Linked DNA regions of Styela clava. The protein of the gene in region 1 purifies or fractionates together with the protein of each later gene. This does not show direct contact. Links are inferred from orthologs where the notes say so. Each region holds a gene or a part of one and is shown in the gene's direction. Other genes may lie near its edges.

What was found. Proteins that work in one complex are often made in the same cells at the same time.
Region 2: the proteins of uncharacterized protein LOC120333780 (region 1) and UDP-N-acetylglucosamine--peptide N-acetylglucosaminyltransferase 110 kDa subunit-like purify together in Homo sapiens (affinity purification with mass spectrometry; 4 studies listed by BioGRID and IntAct, with this or other methods). This does not show direct contact. The link is inferred for Styela clava from reciprocal best matches to the Homo sapiens genes SETD1A and OGT.

What each region holds. Positions count from the first base shown.
Region 1 is NC_135264.1:11,334,394-11,342,460, forward strand, and holds the start of uncharacterized protein LOC120333780, read left to right. Parts: upstream 1-2,919; 5' UTR 2,920-3,010; coding exon 3,011-3,157; intron 3,158-4,435; coding exon 4,436-4,537; intron 4,538-4,651; coding exon 4,652-4,822; intron 4,823-5,388; coding exon 5,389-5,488; intron 5,489-6,158; coding exon 6,159-6,336; intron 6,337-6,767; coding exon 6,768-6,834; intron 6,835-6,904; coding exon 6,905-8,067. Other genes in the region: voltage-gated purine nucleotide uniporter SLC17A9-like, read right to left, coding at 152-267. UniProt on the Homo sapiens protein: Histone methyltransferase that catalyzes methyl group transfer from S-adenosyl-L-methionine to the epsilon-amino group of 'Lys-4' of histone H3 (H3K4) via a non-processive mechanism.
Region 2 is NC_135258.1:11,146,381-11,154,447, forward strand, and holds the start of UDP-N-acetylglucosamine--peptide N-acetylglucosaminyltransferase 110 kDa subunit-like, read left to right. Parts: upstream 1-2,985; 5' UTR 2,986-3,161; coding exon 3,162-3,243; intron 3,244-3,822; coding exon 3,823-3,973; intron 3,974-4,065; coding exon 4,066-4,185; intron 4,186-4,305; coding exon 4,306-4,429; intron 4,430-4,503; coding exon 4,504-4,572; intron 4,573-4,658; exon of another isoform or gene 4,659-6,461; coding exon of another isoform or gene 6,462-6,563; intron 6,564-6,962; coding exon 6,963-7,079; intron 7,080-7,167; coding exon 7,168-7,247; intron 7,248-7,328; coding exon 7,329-7,519; intron 7,520-7,691; coding exon 7,692-7,837; intron 7,838-8,067. UniProt on the Homo sapiens protein: Catalyzes the transfer of a single N-acetylglucosamine from UDP-GlcNAc to a serine or threonine residue in cytoplasmic and nuclear proteins resulting in their modification with a beta-linked N-acetylglucosamine (O-GlcNAc).

The sequences.
Region 1 (8,067 bases):
ACTGTACGGTACTGCTGTAGCAAGTAAACAATGAAAAATTGATAACCACTAATACAAGAACAGAAAAATATAATTATGGAATTGCTGTCAATCAGCAGTTAATCTGAAATCTCCGAAAATTTATTGAAAAAACAAAAGTTCGTTAACTAACTTGCTCCAATTTGATCCTTTTTGTTTTTTCACGATTCTGTCTATTCCTCCTGCATCTCGCGGAGAATGCAATCTTAATGACTTTGAATCCAAGTTTATGACATGATTTCCTACCATACCGGTAATACTGCAGTGCCGCGATGATCAATAACTATTGGTAATGACAACTTCTGATTCCGTGTTGTTATAGCTTTTTATCTATATACACAACTGCAAATTTCGGTGGCGCTTTCACCCTTCTCAGCGAACTATAAATTAGAAATATATGTTACCGAATATAGACGTGGCGTAAACAAGACACGGACGACTTTCTTCTTTATCCGGGTTAGGTTTACTTCGTAGTGGAGAAAATCAACAAATGAGCAACCAAAACTTCCATTGTATGTACGATTTTCAATACAAATATATAATACCATAATAATACATCAATCGATCAATTTTATTCCACATCTATCATTTCTTTGTTTTTGTCTATATTAAGCCAAATATGTAGAAATATGATAAAAGCATCAACGCGATTTTGCCTCCGAATGTTCTACCATTCGTGATATTATGTGACTGAATATACTGTATATGGCAACGCGATTTTGCCTCCGAATGTTCTACCATTCGTGATATTATGTGACTGAATATACTGTATATGGCAATTAGTATGTTTGAATTTCACAATCAGCATAAGAGGCGATGAAATTCCAACACCATCTGACAACAAGTGTCCAAAAGTATTCAGTGTCCAAAAAAATCACACATCAATACAGTTTGAATGTACCGGACATAGATCACAGTACACAATCACAACCAAGCTTTTTAGTCAGGCACTGCGAAGGCAAACAAACATTTTAGAAATCTTGGTTACGATATTTCCGCATAGCACATTTGACGTATGCCGCTAAGCCGTAATTAAACGTATTTATTTCACCTCCAAGCGAAAATAAAATTGCAGTAGCTACCATTTTTACAACCCTACAAGTTGTTTGAAAAAATAACAACATCGTCATTTTCATTTTTCAAACATGGAGAACAATCTGGGCTGATAGTTTATAGTAGTGGTATCGTGATGAAAGGTCGTTATTTGCCACATAATTAATTTTCGTTAGGTTCCCTCTTTTTGGATCTATCGGTCTATCTATCGGCCTATCTCAATCAGATATAATAGAATTTTTTAATTTTATTCCTATCCTACTAAATTTCATTCTCGTTCACGTCACAAGATGGTGGCAGTGAGCTAATGGCGGCTCGGTGAAAACTATGGCTTTGTTGATGGCTGTACCACTTGTTCTGAAGATAAAAATGGCCAAGGTAAGGTAAGTAATATCCTCCAGTTCCTAGTGTGAGTCAAAGAGGCATGAGTAGATTGGCTCTGAGACAGGCCCAGGCTATAAGTTTGTGGCAAAACCGCCGTTGCAGCGGTAAAATGTAGGCGGCTTTTTGTCTCAAAATTCTAGGCTGCGCTTCATCGAGTTGTACAAAGACAAGGTATGACACTGTGACTCTTTGATATTGCAATGGACCAGAAAATAGACTGGTGCCACTGAATAATGTAGATTAGTTTTGTGGTTACAAATTCATCTATTCTTCAGTTCTTCTAGCTCTGTAGTTACTAATTAATTTATAGGATATGATTTACATATTTATTATTTCTGTATTTCTGATATACCTGTATTTATTATACCATCAGGACGAAATTTTGGTCAGTTACACATCAACTTTTGTTGAAAATAGTTTAATTAACCTTACCAAACAGCCAAAGTATCTGATCCATTTGCTCATATCAGTATATTGTACCAAACGCACTTTCTCACCAGTGTGATTGTTTTGTTTGTTTTGATTCTTTAGTTCTGAATTTAAATCTTTAGTGTTAACAACACTAATTTTTCTCTAAGGAAACTTGTTCGAAGCAAGGTCACACGCATTAACTCAGACGCGGTCGACAACTAAAATATCAAGAGCTAGCTACAGTAGGGCACAGTTGTCTGATTCCAGGATTCAAGGATGTGCCGGCATTGAGTTCAATGCAACAAACACTTATTTTGTCTCTGAAACAAGGGCATATGACACGACAGCAGATGCGTCATGCTTGTCTCAATGGTAATCTGAAATAATTGTGACGTGCGTTGGCCGTCATGTGACCAAAATTGCATTTTTTTACTAAAACTTCGTGAATGCTACGAAAAAAAATCTTTTTCTTTGGTAAATCAATTTTTTTTATTTTCCAAGGAATCCATAGTGGCGTTTTTAAATTGCGCTATTAATTTGTTGACAGGGCTGATTTGCAGATTTTTGCCAGTATGGAGGTCCAGACTATCTCGTAAAACAGGGGTTTGCAGTCCCTGTTTTAATTATTTTTAGAGTGAAAATGACTATTCTACTCAATTCAAGAGTCTTGCTGCACACTAACACAAATGTACGAGGTTAAACTTCTTCAGACAAGCATTTTACAACTGTGAAAAGAAACGCAATTGCATGCACATAAAGAAGAAGTCTGACCTCGGTCAGACGAAACCTTACAGAAATACATTTGTGTTAGTGTGCAGCAAGACTCTTGAATTGAATAGAATAGTCATTTTCACTCTTGCTATAGCGTTATACGCATCTGGGTCCACCTGCGCAAAGGCATAGAGCAAGGAAAGGTAGTTAGTTTCACGTAACTCCAACTGTTAGTACTGTTATAATTGATGTCTTCTAATGTGGGGCTACAGAGCTATGGAGAGTATAAAGATTTATAGTGCAGACTTGCACGTTGCTTGTTAACAATTCAACACTGATTTTTTATATTTCTTTTGTTAAAGTCAATAATTATCTATAGTGTAGAAAAATGGATTCACCAGTCTATCAAGTCCTTTGATAAAGGATTAATATTATGTCTGATGTGAAGAAAGAAAACCATATCCAAGGAGTAGGTGCTGAACAAATTAAGAAAAAAGATTATAAATTATTGGTCGACCCTCAAATAAGAAGAGGTGAAGAAAAACTCTTTAGATATGAGGGAGTTGCTTATAATACAGAAGTGAGTGTTTCAATCAGTAATTTTATTCATGACACTATATTTATTACTGATTTTATTTATTTATATTGAACTGAATTTATTCTGGCTTGGTCTATTTTCAGTATTTGGATTTTTTCAGATGGGTAGCATGTATACTACAGCAGGGCACAGTTCCCTGATTCCTGACATTTGGTTCAATAATACAAACACCATATTTGTCACTGAAATGACGGTACCTGGCATGCCGGCACATGCGCCACATGCACACCATGCTATTCTTAGAATCAGAGAACTGTGCTGTACTGCACCAAAACTAAATCTATGTATGGTTTCAGTAGCTCGTGTCATTTCAGTGGCTGCCTTGCAAGTACGCTTGCTGATGAAAATCTTCTTCACCTATGCAAAATTACCACTCTGATTTGAGCAAAATCTATTAATAATAATAAAATGCTTCTGCTGTTGATAGTGATATCGTTGATTCTTAGATGAAGTTATATCTTGATTGTACATAAACAAACAAAAATTCTGTTTGCATAACTTGCAATCCAATGTTATGCTGGCAGCTGGAAGTATATATATATAAATATTTATGGACTATATCATATGCATGACATGTGTTTCTATCGCAGATGAACATGTATGGATTTGTTGATAATAATGATGCTTATTAGCAGCTGGATAATGACCCTCTTTGAATAATTTCTAGTCATTATCTTGTGTATTGCATATTTAAATGTGATTATCTGTGAGTACTGCAATTATGCGCTACAGCCTACGAATATAATTTGCGTATTAGATATTCTTATTAACATGACTGCAATACTCAAATATATGAAGTCTAATGTCCAATTTATCCACCACAATGGCAGTAATTTTTTTTTTAAATGTTAAAAGAATCATATTAAATATTATATGAAGATGTAATCGTGAATTTGAAAAATAAAAAAATTGGGCCTAATAATAAGTGATAAAAATAAGTGATTTTTCGTAATTCCTAACAATCCTATATTTTGTTAATTTCTATCTATCTGTACTGTTATATATACTTGTAAGGATTGATAGTTTCAACATCATTATTGAATATGGGAGACTGTTTTTGTTACTAAAACCACTAGTTTATGGAGTGGTTTGAAGGTTGTTTTTTCATGTACTGTGCATTTTACCCACATATTTTAATAATATCGGTAACTAGATAAGTTAATGGGATTTTAATTCTTCCTAAAAAGGGGTGTTTTGTAGGTGTGAAACCATCTTTATTGAAAGATCTTTTTTTTAAATTTTATTTTTTTTTTCACTTAGAACCATGGACAGGGTGTTGTTGTGTTACGAGATCCACGACCCAGGATGAATCGATTATGGTCAAGAAGAGAGCGATGTGAGTTACCTGTTCCACGATATAAGGTGATTACTGATTGTAATAATAATTGTAGCCATTTGTTGTCCACATTTGAATTGCTTATGGCTTATGATAAAACAATGTAAAACTATTTATAACGATTTACAACATTTTGGCAGGTTGACGAGTGGTACATTGGCGCTGTTCCTCCTCGTGAGGTCACTTTTTCTCGTCTTAATGATAACATCACAAAACAATTCATGGAAAAGATGTGCATCAAGTTTGGAAAACTGGAACGCGTGAGGGTTTACCATCACCCAAAGACACAAAAGCACATGGGTTTATCTAAGGTGTGTTACTGATTTTATACACTTGCAATCTTTGCAAGATATGTTCAACTATGATGGTGTAACTGAACTGTTATTTAAATAGACTATTATTCTGTAACAATGAAAAATGCTTAATAGGCTTAAACTTGATATGGTAACTGTACTGCTTTCGCATCTAACAATGTTGTCACTTAATCTCGTGTATAGTCCATCTGGTTTGGTACAGTCTACCTAACTGATTAATGGATGACCAGTCTTAAACTAATATTTCTTTCCAACCTAAAGATGCTAACATAGTTATATCAATATTCAAACTACATGAATGAACATCGTATTTAATTTAAATTATATTTCCTGAAAAAAATATAGGGTGTCCATGAAGTCTTAGAAATTTTTTAAAATTGCATAGGGAATTTATGGATATCATGGGCCGTATTGTTTTGGCCCTCACAGATGTATTGAATGAAGTAAAAATACCTGATTAAAACATGGTTAATAAGATATATTGAGAACTGACTTAATAACAAAAGCAAAACTGTAAAGGGGTTTATGAGCATCCTGTTTAATCTCGTTGTTCACTTTCACAGGTTGTGTTTTCATCGATCAAGTCCGCATCTGAATGTGTGAAGAAACTCCACCAGACTTCAGTCATGGGAAATGTGATTCATGCACAAATAGACTGTAAAGGTTGGTTGAGTGAATCCTATTCACTAATCATTCTAACCCTGGCGCTGCTCATATGTAGTTGTCTGTTTCACTTAAGGCGCTCGTACTTAATCTTTGTTGTTTATCTTATACGAATAAGAGAATGTCTATATGTAGTAGGCTATATGTTATTTAATTACTTTCAAAATAAAGTTTGGATTGAATAATCTTCAATGTATTTAGGATAAAATGTTTTTGCTGCACTTTTACAAATTTTTAGGCAAGATTGAATACTTGCAAATTTAACTAGAGCTGTAAAGTGTGGAAGAAATTTCCACCAACGACTTCCAACGTCTGGATGAAAACAGGTTTAAGAAAATTTTGACCTAAGTACGAGAAAACCAAATGACTATAAAAATTATCCAATCCTACTGTATGGTTTATGAGTATTCTTAGTTGATTTAAATATTAGATATTTAGATATTAGGTATATTAAATATTTAGTTTTTGTCAAAAAATTACCCTCATTACAGTCTTGAAATTCTAACTTGATTTTGAAGATCTCAAATTTGTTTTTGGCTCATATGGTTGAATTTGGTGGTTTCATAATACGACTCCAACTCCTTCCGTATTCCTAATTCCTATTCCAAACAAATTATTTTTGTCACCCAATTCAGGTTAGTTTTACTATTTTCTTGTATCTCATACACAGGTGAAATTCTGAACAAGCTCTTCCAACGGATAGTGAGAGGTGAGATGATGGCAGAAACAATACCCGATGTAATTCGACATACGCAGGATGGCATTACTATGTCAATTAAATATAAAGAACAACATCATCATCATCACGGTAAAAAAGAAAGGAGAAAATCATCGCAAGATGATCCCAGGTTTGTTTATGTTTGGTGCGAGGAAAAAGTTTTTACTCGGATTTAATTACTTTTCATGGTTTGTTCCGAATGAGGCTCTGCACAGGAAGACCCTTGGACGTAGGTAGTTATTTGACTGCTTGGTTATCCTTGAAATTTATTTATTTTTTGAAAAAAAAAATATTGCATCTAATATGAAATTTGCATGTTACAGTGTGTGTCTGAATACATGTTATTTTGGAACACAAATTGCTTAAAATGACAAAATTTGAATAAAAAGTCAGAACTTGCTATATTGAATAATACCAATCTTTAATGTTTTTTGAATATTATTATTCAAGTTAGAGATCTTCATTCTGGTTCCTAGAGGCCAGGTCAACAGTAAACAGTTTTTGATTCTATGTTTGGTTGTAGAATGCTTATAATTAATCTTTATTTTCAAATTTTTTTAGAAAACTAAGAAGATCCGTAGATGAGAAAATCAAACCTAATTCTCACAGATCGTCAGATGACATCGATGTTCGTATTTTACAATGAAATATGAAATTAAATTTTCTAGCAATTCTCTCATTATTTGTTGTTTTTTCAGGTTTCAGAACACAGTAAAGACCATACTGATCAAATGGAATATAACACTCAAAAATCTTCTCAACTTACTCACAAACAACTTGAGAAGAAATCAAGTGTGGACACTCCTGTGCAGAGAAAAGAGAGCAGTGAACATACTGATCATGAGACTGAACATACCACTGATAGCGAAGAAGTAAAATCGGGAGGACAGCGTGTTTGGTCGTCAGATCTTGAATCTCGTATAAGCTCTTTACTTTACGAACAAACAAAAAAATACAATCTTGATGAAGTGCCGCCGAATAATTCCACCAAGCCTTCAAAGTCCAAAGACGATGACCAATCTTCCCACTCGTCGAGGAGGAAAGACAAAAAATTGTCGAAAAAATCAAAACGGAGTAAAAAACACTCAATTGATTCATATGATTCAAATACAATGGACTCTCCTCATCACGCCCCTTTAGAACGAGCACGATCGTCTGAGAGATCTAGCACTAAGCGAGAGAAAAACAGAAAAAATTCAGTTCCGAATTCTCCTTTACCCAACACATTTTCGAGACACTCTCCTCCGCCTAGAGACTTCGTGTCACCTCCGAGAGACTTTGATCAAGGTTCCGGGACCAGTAGGGAACTGCCTTACCCACATCACGATCGAGATATTATATCTCATGATAGACGCGATTCTAGATCGAGAAGTCCTGGACGAAATACACAATTTTTTAACCCCCCACCTCCTCACAGGTTTTATGACGAAAGGGATAGATTTACTCCTCCTTTATATCATAACCGACATCCTGTCAGTCCTCGGCATTCGCCTAGGTTCGGTCAAGATCACAGGATTCCTGATAGAGAACGGTTTGACCGTGATTTTGAACGTTTCGAAATGTTTCGAGGGGAAGATAGAGACTTTCATAGACGGGATGATTTTCCGTACAGAAGACGTGATATGTCTCCCCCACCTAGGGGAATGCCGAGCCCTCCGAGACGACATCGAGGGCATTCCCCTGGGGCTCGGCATTCCCCTGGTAGGTGGTTACCCCCTGATCGATTTTCTAATCATATACCACCTCATCGTCGGCATTCACCCCCGCCACACAGAGACTTTTACCCCAACCCATCTCGGGATAGGAGTCCCAGACCGTTCAGGCGTACCCCTAGTCCTGAAAGAAGACGCTTTCGTACTCC
Region 2 (8,067 bases), on another chromosome or scaffold:
TCTCTGTAAAATGAATCATGTAATGATAGAATGAAGGTTTGGCCTATTCTTTTATTCTTTTTCGATCGGTAACAAAAAATTGTGGACAAGTAAGTCGTAAGTATCCCTTGCAAAAATAATACTAAAAAGTATGGTAAAGTGAGTGCAATCAGTAAAAAATGATAATCAGAATGTGTCACGCCTGTAGGATTGGACTTATGAGAGTACTCTACTCGTGATAATATATATATGAGCAGGTGAATATATCATGCATGGAAGTGCGCCTAAAATGAACCCTTTTGAGCGTGCAACCTGGGTTGGAAAATCTCAAGTTTACTTCTAGTCTAGTAAATACATGGATTTAATCAATATTTCTCTTAGTTTATCCTCAGTTCATGACCTATCACAAATGTCTAATAATTTCTAACCAATGTACAAATTCATAAACGTGTAGTCGCGATTGAAAAAGATGGATCATCGATCCATTCAAAACTGGAATATATATTTAAATAAACAAGATATCAATGCTCAATTATATAGATACGAGGGCGAAAACGAAGTAACATCAACTATTTTACAGTACCGGTAGTCTGACTACGAAATCGCTGAAATGCGCTTAGAGAACCACGGCACGGTGGGCAATATTTAATATCGATGATGTCATCGCACACAAAAAACGAATCCCATAGAGCCCACAGAAATTTTCGGAAATAATAAAAGTAATGCCTTTCTAGCGAATAAGACAATCCTTAACCACTGAAAATTTCAGAGCAATTAGTAGTTAATGAGTAAAGTTTTTCTTCTTCCTGAAGTATGCGCACCAAGATGGCGCACAACCTGAACCCGGTGGTGTACACTGTACAGGGTTAGGGTTCAGGTTGTGCGACATCTTGATGCGCATACTTCAGGAGTACCGCTTTTTTATAACGATGAGAGAGGGAAAATACCAACAACATATCACCAAACGAAGTATCAAGCCCTAGCTATTTCCAATTGTATTCTAGCAACATTTACTACAGTATCAACATGGCCATTTCAGAGTAATTGCTATGAAAAGTCAAAATGAAAAGTGCATTGCTAGCGTTGTATCATTTTCACTGAAAATCAATCAAAGACTTGAAATTGAAAGACTGAAGTGCAGTAGCCTACCTTTCAGTACACTATGAAATATGAAGCACGATTGCATCTCGCTGTTTCAGAATTAAAAGTCAAGGCCAATGCCACAAGTTTAGCGTTAAATTGGTGTTTATAGATGAGTTTTGGGGATGTTATTTTGAAATACATACTCAGTTTTGTTTTGTTGCTATTTTAATTCGCGTCCTTACAACTTTAAGGTTTGAAATCTGGCCCGACACTAAAAAAGGCTGAAAACCACTGGCTTAAATACGGAACGACAGCCCATACGATAAGCAAAATGGAACTAGATGCATTGACTTGATGGTAGAGAAAATCGAAACCGATCTTGGGTTACATGAACAACCCCACGACATTGTTCAACAATCTCTTACACACAATGGACCTTTCCCCGAGCATCGACTTCCTGTTTACTTCGTGACATTGGCCAATCAACAAGATGCAAAAAGTGACGTAACAATGCTCCCTTTTTGCATCCGCTCAGACACTTTTCTCACTCAGACAGATTTTCAAGCGCGGTCGTAAACATTACCTCATTATCGCGTTTTTGAACTCTATTCGTTAGTTTTCAGTTGTGTTTCGGAAACTTAAATATAAATAAGATAATTCAATGATCACCCTGTTTTCCCATGAGTTCTAATTAAATTGCAGTAATAAAAAATTAGTGTCGAAATAGCTGTGATAGACTAGGCTAAAATTCTTTACCGGTACTTTTAAAAAACAGAAAGTTGTATGCGATGAATCATAATGATGGTTTGAAACACATACCCCATTTTACAGGCGCCAACTCGCAAAAGCACTCTTAAAATAGCCCCGAAAATTTTGCAATGGCAAAGTATAAGAAGAATTTATTCGGGGGTCAAAGGTCGGGGAAAGGTCCATTATCCCACAAACTCTTCCCTAGTGACCTTAGATTTGTGTTAGGACGGATAGAATGTACCGGATCACCTATGTGATATTGTCGCTCGTACTGGCTTACACATATGTGCGTAATAGAAAATGATAACGTAGATAGCGAGTTTGATAAATTATATCAGTACAACGACTAACATACCGTATCAGTAGCACAAAATCATATCATTATTTGTGCCATACTTCCAATTTGGTGTTACCCATTCTCTCATATAGTTTGAAGAATATGTTTTTACGGTATGTTAGTCGTTGGTTTTTACGACCCATCCATGAAGATAAAAATGTCACAACAATTAATTTAAATTATTGGACATTCATTCTGATTCCAAGTCGGCAATTCTGAGTAATCATAATGAACCACCTTCTTATGAACAAGGCATAGGAATACTCTCGTTCGTCTATTTCCCTGATAAGAGACTGGACCGAAGCGGAAGTTGAAAAATAATGCCGATAAGGCATCTCGTTGTTTCAAAGCTCCCGAAACCAGACAAAGTCAGCGTGTCACGACAAATGACGTCACCCACGTATCATTGCAAGTTAACCATTGGCGTCTCGTGCGCATGAATATTTGGCGCCTCGCGCGCATGAATATAACATCACGCGACAGAGCTGGGTGGAAACTGGAAACACTTCGACGTGACTGTAAATAGTACTGCCCTTTGTTTTTATCAGAAAGGACGATTCACGCGTGTGGGCTCAATAACAACAATGTTTAATTTTGATATTTTCCTCGACTTATCGTAACTTTTACTATTGTGATTAGATTATGATGTATATAGACAAAGTTTAGCGTTAGATTATTTGTCCATATGGTTCTCCTTCATGTCTGTATGTTGTATCGTTGGTTATAAGGTTTTTGCGAGTATGAATAAATTCAAAAAATTTGCGATTTGGCGTTGGGAATTATTTTCAAGTGTTATTGGTGCAAAAACTGATATTTATATTCTGTTCATTTATATAGATTTTCTAATTAAATCAAACTATGAGTGATTTTTGTCTTGCATAGTCTGCAACACAAGATTGTTTGAAGAGTTCACATTCTGACATTGCTTAACCCTGCCAGCCTGTCATAAATTGGCACATTCAGACATTGCTGTCGACTTGAATTTCTCTTTACTACTATAATTCGTGATCCAATGTATTCACCAATGACGAAGGACGACACTAAGAAAATTATGTTAAATAATAATCATCAAGCAGCTGTTCTTGATGCCACGGGTTGGTAAACTTATAAGTTATTTTTTATTAATTGAACAGTTTCATGGGTTTGTTTTTCTGTATTTTGCTTTCCAACTACCAAGTTTCAGGAGTTTTGGTACACTTGAACAATTTCAGAATTTTGTTGTCATAAACTTCAAATAATTGTCTAAACTTTATACTGTTGTACCTTGTACTGTTGTACGATTAGTCATTCCAGTATTTCCATTATAATGTAACCGCGTGTGATATAACGTTACAGATAACTTTTTAGAAAAATATGTTTTTGCAAAAGTTTTGTCTATTCCTGTATACTGATTTCTTGATTTAGTAATTCTGTAATTTGTCGATTACGTATTGGAATTTTTTTGGAGAATGTAGTCTCCAAATAAAATTGCTGCACGAGACGGAGTTTTAAGTCATTCGGTCATAATTTTTCAAAGTTAAAGAGTGCATGGAGTGATGCTTTTACTCGGCAGCTCAATGTAAGCCAATACCTGAATACTGTAAAATGTGGGACCAGAAATAAGATTCTTTGTTCATTCATTTTTTTTATTAATACTCATCTGGGTTTCCTTAACATGGTTTCCCTATTTTAAGGTCTTGCTGAACTTGCACATCGTGAATATCAAGCAGGCGATTATGACAATGCAGAAAGGCATTGTATGCATCTTTGGCAGCAAGATCCAGATAATACTGGCGTTCTGTTACTTCTCAGTTCTATTCATTTTCAGTGTCGGAGACTTGACAAGTATAATCCAGTTCTTACAATTTTATTCTGTTATTGTTTTAAATGTACTCCTTCAAGTAAGAATGGTGACATAACAAACCAATTTTTTTCAGGTCTGCATATTTTTCAAAACATGCAATTAAAACAAACCCGATGCTTGCTGAAGCTTATTCTAATCTTGGGAATGTTTTCAAGGAAAGAGGCCAATTGCAAGAGGCCTTAGAACATTATAGGTATGATATTTGAGAAAATAACAATTTATCAAACGGTGTTTGTTTAATATATGGAATTGAACGGTGTTTGTTTAATATATGGAATTGGACATGTAATATTTGTTTTCTATTTGAATTTAGGCATGCTGTACGCTTGAAACCAGATTTCATTGATGGTTATATCAACTTAGCAGCTGCTTTGGTTACTGCTGGAGACTTGGAAGGCGCAGTTCAGGCTTATTTTTCAGCTCTACAAATAAATCCGGTAAATTGCATTCCGCAGATCATATTTTCATACTTTCCCCTTCAATAATAATAATCAACTTCAACTCATTTCAGGATCTCTATTGTGTGAGGAGTGATCTTGGTAATTTGTTGAAAGCTCTTGGACGTTTAGAAGAGGCAAAGGTATTTGCAGCATTAAATTGGCATGCTTTTTACATTCAGCAAATGCGCATTTGCGGTTCTTGGCATATTGCTATCTACACCTGAATCCTGAATCATACATGCTGGACTCGAATACTTTTGCAATTTATCGTTTCGATGATGATTTGGTCTTAACTAGTTATTTCGCTATGCATGCTTCAGGATTCAGTTTGTGTCGATAGCAACCGAGAAACGCTCGAGCACATGAAAAGTTGAATCACTTCCATGGCACATCGACACATTTCCGAAATCCAAATACTGTTTCAGACATCAAATAGAATTATTTTACATTAGCACAAATATGATTTTTTTGCACATGCTTGCTTTTTTATTAAGTCTATGTGTAAGAGTTCTAGAATAATCGACTGTGCACCCCATTATTGGGTTCGACCTGGCTCTGCGCCACCTGTTTTCTTGAAAATATTTCTGCTGTAATTCAGCTCTATATTTTAATAGAAGTTGAACTAGACAGGAAAAATATAATAATTTTTGTAATCAATCAAGCCATTATTTTCAAATAAGTCATAGCCCTCTGCCATTCAATTCTGAAACCAAGTAATTCAACAAGAAAGTCATGTTTGTGCTCTTGTTATTTCATAGTATGTTTAGCCTTGCTTCGAAATATTTTGCTCCCTCTGATGTTCACAATGGTCAGTGTTGTTTTCCATCCGTGCTACATGTTATAGACAGGTATAGCAGCAGCAGATTCATTTCTCTTCATCTCATAAAACAACACTGAAGATTGTGAACATAGCAGTGTACTGAAATGTGCAATTTTCAAATCTATTTTTAACGACTTTTCAAAAAGTGACACTGTATTATTTATTTTTTGTTTAAAATTGGATTACTCAGCTCTGTTGAGGATGAGGTAATTTTTGTATTCCTATAAACCGGAGCGAAATATTATTTGGGCATGGCTTTTGCACTTAGTCGGCGAATTCGGCATTGAAATGAAGGTACATTGACCCACATGGCTGTCAGTGGACATATTTTGCTACCCATTTGAAATGTATTTCAACTACTCAATATCCAATCCATCCCGATATCTTACACTGACAGTCAAGCGCTCGTGGGTTGTAAGCTGACGCAGCAGTTGTTATTGGAAAGACATCTTCCTGGGATTAACTTGTGCATTTGGACATGTCTGTATCTTGAAAACTTGAAAACCCCAGATAGTTTTTTTTCCAGTAAATGCAACTCTCAGCTGTCACGTTCATTTGCTAAATTGCGTCTTTATAAATATATTCTGATCTTAGAATTTGGTGTTTGAAACAAAATTCTTGGATCAGTAGCGGAATTGTATCTCAAATTATTTTATCAATTGGCTCGAAACTAAATTCTATGTGCAATTTGGTATTATTAACATGATGTGCCATGGTAAGATATTGTATGTGCTCATTTTTTAATTAAAAAGCTTCTCTAGAAGGACAAAATCTACCTGATACAGGATGGTTACTCAGCATATATTTACATCTGTGGTATGAATTAAAGTTAGCAATGGTAAGGCATATGCCAAGTATTGCATATTTTAATTAAAACCTCAAACTTTGTTTGGCTTTAGTTTCAAAAGTAATTGTTTCTCTCTAATCTGACGTTAATGTTGTTTTTCTTCAAATTTGACATTATTGTTACCAAAGGATTCTAGTTCAAATTCTTAGACATATCTAAAAACAAGAATAAATAAAAAAATGTTTTTTGTCAATGACATAATTACAATTACTGATCAAATGTAACTTCCAAGTACCAGTATTTATTTAAGACATCTTACAATATTTTAATCTTGTTATTTTATTCTTTATCTCTCTGTCATATTTATCAAGTCAATTTAAGAAAGATTGCACAGAGCTCGTCAGCATTCAACAGAGCAGGACATGAATATCACCATGCCAGATGACTTCTTCGTATCTCTAATAAATATCTCAGGCACCCAAGGCTACTTATTGTTATGTAAGCGCCGACAAAATGCGGCAACGGTATGGTATATACCAAGTTGGTCCAAGTATATAAATATGGATCTTTTATTTTTATATGTATTGTATTACTGTGCATTGTCTTGTATTTTTTGCTATGTGCGCCGCGCTTTGCGAATTCTATGTTCAAATCTTGCTGCATCATTTTCCACTCACAATTGCTTGACTTTAAATTTCTGCCAAAATTTTTGGTAGATCTATTTGACACAACTTGCAAAAAGTATTCTTGCAAATGTGAGACTCTATGCGGATGAAGCGAAGTAGAAGCTAATGTAACCATTTATTTCATCAGAGAAAATTCGGCATCTTTGGCTTCATTTCCGGATTCTGCTGCTGCTGCTCTGTGCGATATCAAAACTCCTTTTTTTCTTATCCTAATTTGTCTTTTATTCTCGCGTTTAGACATGCTATCTGAAAGCTATAGAAACACAACCAAATTTCGCAGTTGCTTGGAGCAACCTTGGCTGCGTCTTCAACAGTCAAGGAGAAATATGGCTTGCAATTCATCATTTTGAAAAGGTATTTTTCTTGTTTTTGTATATTTATGTATAAACATTATTTTATTGTACAATGGGGTATTGATTCAGTTTTTTATCATGGATTTCAGGCTGTGACGTTGGATCCAAACTTTCTTGATGCATATATCAACTTAGGAAATGTACTGAAAGAGGCAAGAATCTTTGATAGGTAATCATTGTAACATTCTATTTATTACTTAAATTAAAATCTATATTCCTTAAATTTTTTCATGTACAATTTTCATTGTAGAGCTGTTGCTGCTTATCTGCGTGCATTGAATCTATCACCAAACCATGCAGTTGTTCATGGAAATCTTGCGTGTGTGTATTATGAACAAGGGCTGATCGATCTAGCGATTGACACATACAGAAGAGCGATTGAACTTCAACCGCACTTTCCTGATGCATACTGCAATTTGGCCAACGCCCTCAAAGAAAAAGGTAAAATTGCTATTCCGGTTAAATGTATTGTGTTATATCAGACTTTTGAAGGCACGAGAGTATGTAGAAAATGTTCAGACTAGCTTTTTGTCCACTCTTTTCGATTCTGATCATCTGTCTCTCAACTCTGAATTTTTTTTACCCTGATATCTGTTACAAAATGCACTTTCAGGTAAAGTTGAAGATGCTGAAGAATGTTATAATAAAGCACTGAGACTGTGTCCAACACATGCAGATTCACTTAACAACTTGGCAAATATAAAACGAGAACAAGGACTGATAGAGGAGGCCATTGCACTGTATTGTAAAGCATTGGAGGTGATTACTGAATTTTTTTTTTGATCAATCTCTTAACACTTTCGATGCCAAGATCAGTTTTTTCAATTTTACCGTTCCGTGCCAAGGTGAAAACGAGAGAGTTCTCTCCTATTCATTCTCTCTCGTATTTAGTTTTTGATTCATCGGGAAAGGGGCGAACCCAGCGGTGTCATCAGTTATCGTTCATTCCGACACTTCAGTCGTAGGTGAAAGAACTCACCTACACACGC